Linked DNA regions of Drosophila melanogaster. The protein of the gene in region 2 interacts with the protein of the main gene of each other region in a pairwise test. Each region holds a gene or a part of one and is shown on either strand. Other genes may lie near its edges. The genes, in order: CG17266 and Prp18.

Region 1 (3,747 bases), on a different chromosome or scaffold from region 2:
CGGCTGGATCTGGTCCGCCATCTTTCACACAAGGGACTTTCCACTGACCGAGCTGCTGGACTACGCCTTTGCCTATTCCATCATCTTGTGCTCACTTTACGTCATGGTCATGCGGATGCTGCACCGCTACTCGCTGTTCCTACGGGGTGTTATCACGTTGGCATTCCTCTCCTACTACATTAACTACTTTGCCTACCTGAGCGTGGGACGGTTCAACTATGCGTTCAACATGATGGTAAACGTGGCTACGGGAGTTATAGCGGCAGTGGGATGGTTCGTTTGGTGTCACTTTGTGCGCACCCGCAGGCCCTACTTTAGAAGGATCCTGCGTTTCTATATTCTCATGGCGTTGGCTATGAGCCTTGAACTGCTTGACTTTCCGCCCATCCTCTGGATTCTGGATGCTCATGCTCTGTGGCACTTGGCAACAATTCCTCTGGCATCCCTATACTATGAGTGCGTAGAAATATTACTTTATTCTAATATTGCTACATGTGTTTGCATTTTAGCTTCATGATAGAGGACTGTCGAACCCTGCGAAAGGAGAAGGCTGCGGCGGGCGGCTATTCATTCTACAATTAGTATTATCTAAGTTATTCTTAGCCCTTAAAGCACGCAAAGCTATCTGGCAATTTTTCTGACATATTTCATGTAATTTGTAACAGAGCGAAAACATGTAATGTATTTTATTGAATGTCAAAGCGAAAACATCCTTTGACAGTAACCAGAACGGCAGGAAAACTAATAGCTTCGTTTAAAAAGACATAATAGAGACTTTATTACAACATTTAGAACTCCGTGCTACATTTGCCCGCACTGCGAAATGGTCACTGGGAGCTTCGGCTTGTTATTGGGGCCCGTGGGCACGTTCTCGATCTTGCGCATGATGAGCAGTCCATCCAGAACCCGACCGAACACCACGTGCTTTCCGTCTAAAAAGTTGCACTTGGCGCAGGTGATAAAGAATTGGCAGCCGTTCGTCTCCTTGCCACTGTTTGCCATGGAAAGGAGGCCGGGCGAGTCGTGCTTCAGGGTAAAGTTCTCGTCGCCGAAGGTGTTGCCGTATATGCTGGTCACGCCGGTGCCGTCGCCCTGCACAAAGTCGCCGCCCTGGATCATGAAGTCCTTGATCACCCGATGGAAACTGGCGCCTTTGTAGCCAATGGGAACGCCATCCGGTCGGTACTCGCCCGTGCAGAACTGCCGGAAGTTTTCCGCCGTGCGGGGCACTGTGTCCGCAAAGAGTTCGAATATCATTCGTCCGATTTCCTGCACACAAAAGGCGTTAGAAGGCGGAGTTATGTACAGATTATGACTAGATTGTTTTCAGCTCACCGTTGTGCCTACGGCAATGTCGAAGAAAACGACGGGATTGTTGGAGCTTCTCAGTTGGGACTGTATTTGATTCCAGTTAGGCATTTTAAAATTATTTTATTTGTTTATAAACTTTCTAACAAGTCAAGATTAAGATTTTACTAAGCCGGCAGATTTTTGTTTATGTTTATTACGATGGTTCGATGACGATGCACGACAAGTCGATAGCATCACAAGCCGGTTATATCGATAGCACACGTGTGCCAAGTGCTTGTTTATATTTTGCTGTGCACATATTGGTGAAACTATTTAATAATATTTATTAAGGTGAGTTTATTTATGATTGGATTGATTGATGAGTAGAGTGCATAAAATAGTGCATAAATATTATTATTGTTGGATATTGTTTCGGCATTATTTTTAGTTGTTTATTTTTATTGGCAAGTTTCTCAAGGCCTGCAAAATATGTATGCATACTAACATATTTCGTGGTCCGATGGGCAGGATTTTTTCCTGATAGGATATGCGTGTGTAAATTCTTCAACATACATACGTTCCCACGCTAAAAGCTTTTATCACAAAGAATGACAGAATGACCCAAAACACTTGTATCTGTATGTACATGCATTTGTACCAAAGTGGGAAATGGAGATATGCAAGAGACAAAGCAAGTGCAGTAGCAAGCAACAATTGTATGCCTTAGCATGCGTAAGGAGACCGATATATGTATATTTATATTTAGTTTACTTATAATTAGTTTATACTTTTAAGATGTAGTGGTAACGTTTTAAAGCAAACTTATTGAGACATATATCATATACAAAAATTAAAAAAAATACTATTTGCGTCCCCCAAAGATCTCCCAGTTGGATTTTGGATAGACTCTTTGCCAAGGATTCCCGTAATTAGCCATTTTAGGAGTTCTGTTGGAAACGAATGGCCCCAATTAGCCCTCTCTGTTGATGAATGAAGACCTTTTATCGACATAGTACAAAAACGTATGATAATTAATAAATATTCGTGAGCATTGTACTCAAGAAAAATGTAAATTTTCCGAAAAATATGCACGACAATGACCCCCATTTGACGTTAAGATCTGCTTAGTGAAAAATAGATTTCATGTTTTGGTAGTGACAACACATTCCCGGGGATCTTAATCCCATTGAGGTCTCCTTGATGAAAACCATATCCTTGGCATTGTGTTCGTTTGTGGGTGGAATATCATTTTCTAAACAGATGCACAGCTTTATTGGATATTGGATATAGTTTTCTGTACGTTCTGGTTTGTTTAAATGTATCCTCTTGGACGACTCTGTAAATTTTATAATAATATACATTTATAATGTACATATCAAGTTGCTTTAAACATTAAGATTGTCCTTCAAACTCCCATTACAAGACACGAGATACATTTTCCGTTGGATTGTGTTTGTATTTTTTAAAAACTTGCATAAAAAATGCCGAGATAATGTTTATAAATAAGTGCTTTTGTTCATGACAGTAACTTAAGGTAGCTAAACGGTATAAGCAGATGCAAATGAGTCTATCTTTAAATTACATGATATTCAGCAACAACTAAGGTCCTACTAGTACATAAATGGATGTTCTTAAATTCAAACTGAGCAATGTTAGTCGGTAGTCGATTGATTCATGCCTCATTTCAGCTCGACAACTAATACTAGGTAGAGGTAAATCCGCAAATCCCTTTTCGGGTCGACGCTCAGTTACTCGCCTCGTCCGTATCCACGTCTGATATATCTTTGAGTTTTACGTTGCCATTGCTGTTGTTCCTGTCATTGTCATCCGCCGCCTTTTGGAAGTTCTCCTGAAGAGTTTTGGGATCGACGACCAGGATGGGTGTGCACCCGTCCATTAGGTGCTCGCTCTGGCTCTGGTACTGCTCCCGCGAGATGCTGCGAGTGAAGGAGAATCGCAGCGACTTTGTCCTGGTCAGCCTCTTTTTGATGGGTGGCTTGCCCGCCACTGGAGCCAATGGCTCTGAGCTGGTCCGCTCTGAGCCTTCCGGCGTGGTTGGCACGGAGCTGGACTCCAGCTGGTGGTCCCGCAGTATTTCCTCAGCAAAGCACTTTATCTGGGTCCAAGCTTCCAGGATGTCCTTCTCAGTGGCGTGCTCGTAGGTGACGCAGAAGCGGATCACGTAGCGGCCGTTGAACTTGGCCGGCGTCATATGCATCTTGCCCGAGTGGTTGATCTGGGCGAGCAGCATGTGGTTGGGCTCGTCGCCAGTTCTGTAGAGAAGATTGAGTAGATCATTAAAGACCAGCATTCAGATTTAGCTGCTTTCTTCAGTTAGGTAAATACTAGCTAACGGTTAATGGTTTATAAATGGTTTAATGGTTAATAGACTTACCGCATTCGGAAGCAAACTAGGCCAAGGTGAACATCGTTGCGAACCTCAAATCGTTCATCCTT
Region 2 (4,008 bases):
ATCAAAGATTTTACGAACCGCTTCCGAGGTTACCCCTATAATAAGAGCGAAACTGTTTCGGTTCTAGTGATAAGAAAGTTAGATAAAAACATTTCAGAGCCTAATGTCTTAATTGATCAAGAAAGTTTCTTCCCAGAACATAATTGCGTACTTCCACTTCAATAGTTTGGCCCATTCAATTCGTGTTTGCAAACGAAAGCTGACTAGCTGGCCAAGCACAGCTATTAAGACAGAAACTTTTTATTTGGAAAATCGGACAATTAAGCCCTAATATCTTATATAAAATCGCATTTAATGCGCAAAAAGAGGTGCCTAACGACTTAAAGCTCATACTTAACTGGCCGATGTTACGTGCATTTGTTCGACGGACCAGCAAAATATTTGGGTGGCTCTGGTCCAAAAAACGCCACCAAACTTCCAAGCAGCAAGTAGTGAAAGCGGAAGCACTTATTATTCTCCGTATTTTGCACCACTAAAAAAAAAGTGATGGACAAAACGCTGGAACGACAACAGCAATCAAAGCAATACATATAATTACTTCATTCAGAAACGCAACCGGAATCGGATTCAGGGCCACAAAGTTTTTCAGCCGGTGGCAAATAAAAATTCGGCATTCAATAAGCGGAGAAAAGCTGTCCGTTATCACTTTCGGATCTGAGTTATCCAATCCTATGTTTATTCGCCCGATTTTCTATAATTTTATTGACTCTTGCATAATTAAATATTTCTTTTGTAAGAGCGAAATTATTACAACCAAATTGTGTACAATATAGAAAAATATGTGTTGAATTTGTATCCAGTTCTTATAATAAGTACCTATATAGCAAGATTTTATTCTAATATGAATATGTTAATCTTATTATTGTTTTTTGTCTTTCGTATCCTTTTGCATGGGATGCTTTATGAAGGATAATAGCTAACCACTTTTGCAATTAACACAAATTCAACTCACTGGGCTTAAATAAATAAATAAATTTATTCCGTCCACTTTTTTTTTTATATACTACATTCTGCGTACAGTTCAAAGGTGCTACAGAACGTTTTGATTATTTCTTTGCTGCTAGGCAGCAAACAGTCTTGGTCCTTGGATCACTTAGCGCGCCTGGTTGAATGGGTTGTCTGGTGACTTGTTCCATTCCTTCATCAGAAGCTGCTTCCACTGGGACATGCGAAGGGAAGGATTCTCAGCCTTAATGCGGGGCAGATTGTTGGCTTCAAAGGTCTTGTAGGCGGCGCGCATTCGCTTCTCGGGATGCTTGTCCTCTTCGCTGTCATTTACACTAAAATTGCATGCAATGGAAGATAATTTAAATTGATAAGAAAGTTTCAGTAAGGGAACGCACCTGAGCACCACGATGGCCTCGTCAATGTTGGATGCCACATCCGTGTCGGCCATGGATCGGTTCAGATTCTCCTCGATATGGTTTTGGACCACCACTCGCGCGGCCATCGGCTTGTTGGCCTCGTTTATCGCCTCGATTACGCGCTGCTTCTTCTCCATCTCCTCGAGAATCATCTGGCGGTTGATCTTGGCCAGCGGCTGCTTTCGCTGCGTGTTAATGGATGACATTTCCTGGTCAAGCAGCGCTTTGGCCTCAGCCTTCCGTTTGGCCGCCTCCGCCCGCTTGCGCTCCTCCTCGTCCTTGCGCTGTTGTTTCTTGGCCAGATTCTTGTCGTCATCGCGCCACAGGCGATCCTCCGCCTCCTTGCTCTTCTTCTCCTGCGTGGCCTTCTTGGTGGCCTCCTTGCGCTCGCGGGCCTCCACCGCCTTCGAGTTGATTCCCATTTTCTTTGGCATTGTGTCCTTTATGAATGAATTCCGATCCTAAAATGTTGTCTATTTTTTATTGATTTTGAGCCAGTGTGACCAGGCTGCGGAAATACCAAAGAGTAACCAAAGAAAAAATACTAGAAAAATATATAGCTCAAATACAATTTAAATGTCTAATAAATGCATTTAAATTAAATAAATTAGGAAGTACATATTTATCTAATTATTGATTAAAGTTATAGAACTAATTATAAGTTATTTCATAACTAAAACTTAGTAAATTCAATAGAATACCTATTTTAGTGGCCGCACTTGTATGTAAACATTCTCAGTCTGGTCTCACTATAATCTAAGGCATTTGTTTTGGTTACTCCACATTGTTATTAACTACAAATAACAATCACATGGATATTCTGAAAGCTGAAATAGCGCGAAAGCGCAAGCTGCTGGAGCAAAGGCAGCTGGTGGACGAAAAGAAGAAGTACTTCAGACGCGGTGACCTGAACGCCAAGAACACAGAGGAAGTGCTGCAGAAGGTGGGCTACATAAAGCAGGAGTCCGTCGAGGCACAAGGACAAACGACCGAAGGCGCGTACAGTTTTGTGGCCGATGGCCAGAACATATTGCCGCGCACGGAGGTCATTCGGAGGCTAAGGGAACGCGGCGAACCCATCCTTATATTTGGCGAGACGGAGCCCGAGGCCTTTGACCGATTGCGACAATGCGAGATTTCGCAGCCAGAGGCAAATCGCGGTTTCCGCAACGATTTCCAGGAGGCCATGGAGCAGGTGGACGCCGCCTACCTGCAGGAGATGTTCGCCAACACACCCACCACCAAGGAAGACAAGAAGTCGGACTTCGCTGAGCTCGACGAGTCCGTGTCGTGGGAGAGCATACAGACAATGGCTGCAAATATGGGCCGCAACAAGGACTACGACATGGATGTGATCATCACGCTGCTCACCTTCCTGCTCAAGCTGTGGAACGACCAGATCGCCAACTACAGCAAGCACGAAAAGATGTCCACAAAGGTGAAAATGACCCGCGTCATTTACACGCAGACTAAGGAATACGTTAAGCCGCTGTTTCGCAAGTTAAAGCATCACACCCTGCCAGAGGACATTCTGGACAGTCTGCGAGACATCTGCAAGCACCTGCTCAACCGCAACTATATCACAGCAAGCGATGCCTACCTAGAAATGGCCATCGGAAACGCGCCTTGGCCCATTGGTGTCACTATGGTGGGTATCCACGCTCGTACGGGTCGCGAAAAGATTTTCTCCAAAAACGTAGCCCACGTAATGAACGATGAAACACAACGGAAGTACATCCAGGGTCTCAAACGACTGATGACCAAGTGCCAAGAGTACTTTCCCACCGATCCCTCCAAGTGCGTGGAGTACGTCAGCAAGAAGGATCGGGAATAAACTTGAGCTTTATGTTAGTCATTATTGTAATAACAATATCAAGCGTTTAACTATATGTATGTGTAGAGAGCAAGGGGATGTTCCGGGGGATTACATTTTCACTTCTTTCCCAGTTCAGCAGAGCGCTGTGACGACTTTTCCACGGCGTTTATTAAAGTAGACCTGAAAGCACGAAAGAAAGCAATAAAAAAACAGTGTAATGTACAACTTTATGGCTACCCACCTGAGGTTCCCCTTTTCCAGTTCATGAACGCCTACTATGGTGGCGCCACCGGGAGAACAGACTTCATCCCGCAGCACCGCCGGATGTTTTCCAGTGAGCAGCACCGTTTTGGCCGCTCCCAGAAGCGTCTGAGCCGCAAACTGAAGAGCCATCTGACGCGGAACGCCCTGTTTGACGCCGCCATCGGCCAGTGCCTCTATGATGGTGTAAACAAATGCCGGACCGCATCCAGCTACCCCGGTAACGGCGTCGATCATGGACTCGGGCACCTGTTGCGCCAGTCCCAGGGCGTTGAGCATTAGGTGAATCTTTTCCAAGTCGTGATGCGAAACGCGTGCGTTGCCAGTGTAAACAGTGCAGCCCTCGCCCACCTGCATGGATGTATTGGGCATGGTGCGTATCACCTTCAGCTCCGAACTGCCCATGAAGCTGAAGGCCTCCTCCAGCGTTTCGAGACTGGTACCCGCCAGAACCGACACCACCAGCTTGCTGGCATCCTTGGCCGACGGCACGTGCTTGTATTTAAGCTGGGCGGCACACGGCGTTAGCATGTGTGGCTTTACGCAGATGAAAACTATGTCCGAGTG

The links.
Region 1: the proteins of Prp18 (region 2) and CG17266 interact in a two-hybrid assay, tested with the Drosophila melanogaster proteins (one large-scale study listed by BioGRID).

Annotation. Positions count from the first base shown.
Region 1 is NT_033778.4:6,674,272-6,678,018, forward strand, and holds CG17266 (uncharacterized protein), read right to left. Parts: upstream 1,731-3,747; 5' UTR 1,420-1,730; coding exon 1,336-1,419; intron 1,270-1,335; coding exon 802-1,269; 3' UTR 757-801; downstream 1-756. Other genes in the region: PGAP3 (Post-GPI attachment to proteins 3), read left to right, coding at 1-456, 510-582; Tdc1 (tyrosine decarboxylase 1), read right to left, coding at 3,035-3,563, 3,686-3,747.
Region 2 is NT_033777.3:19,029,361-19,033,368, reverse strand, and holds Prp18 (Prp18), read left to right. Parts: upstream 1-2,097; 5' UTR 2,098-2,175; coding exon 2,176-3,198; 3' UTR 3,199-3,296; coding exon of another isoform or gene 3,297-3,360; 3' UTR 3,361-3,401; downstream 3,402-4,008. Other genes in the region: CG6013 (uncharacterized protein), read right to left, coding at 1,094-1,280, 1,344-1,798; P5cr (pyrroline 5-carboyxlate reductase), read right to left, coding at 3,297-3,360, 3,422-4,008.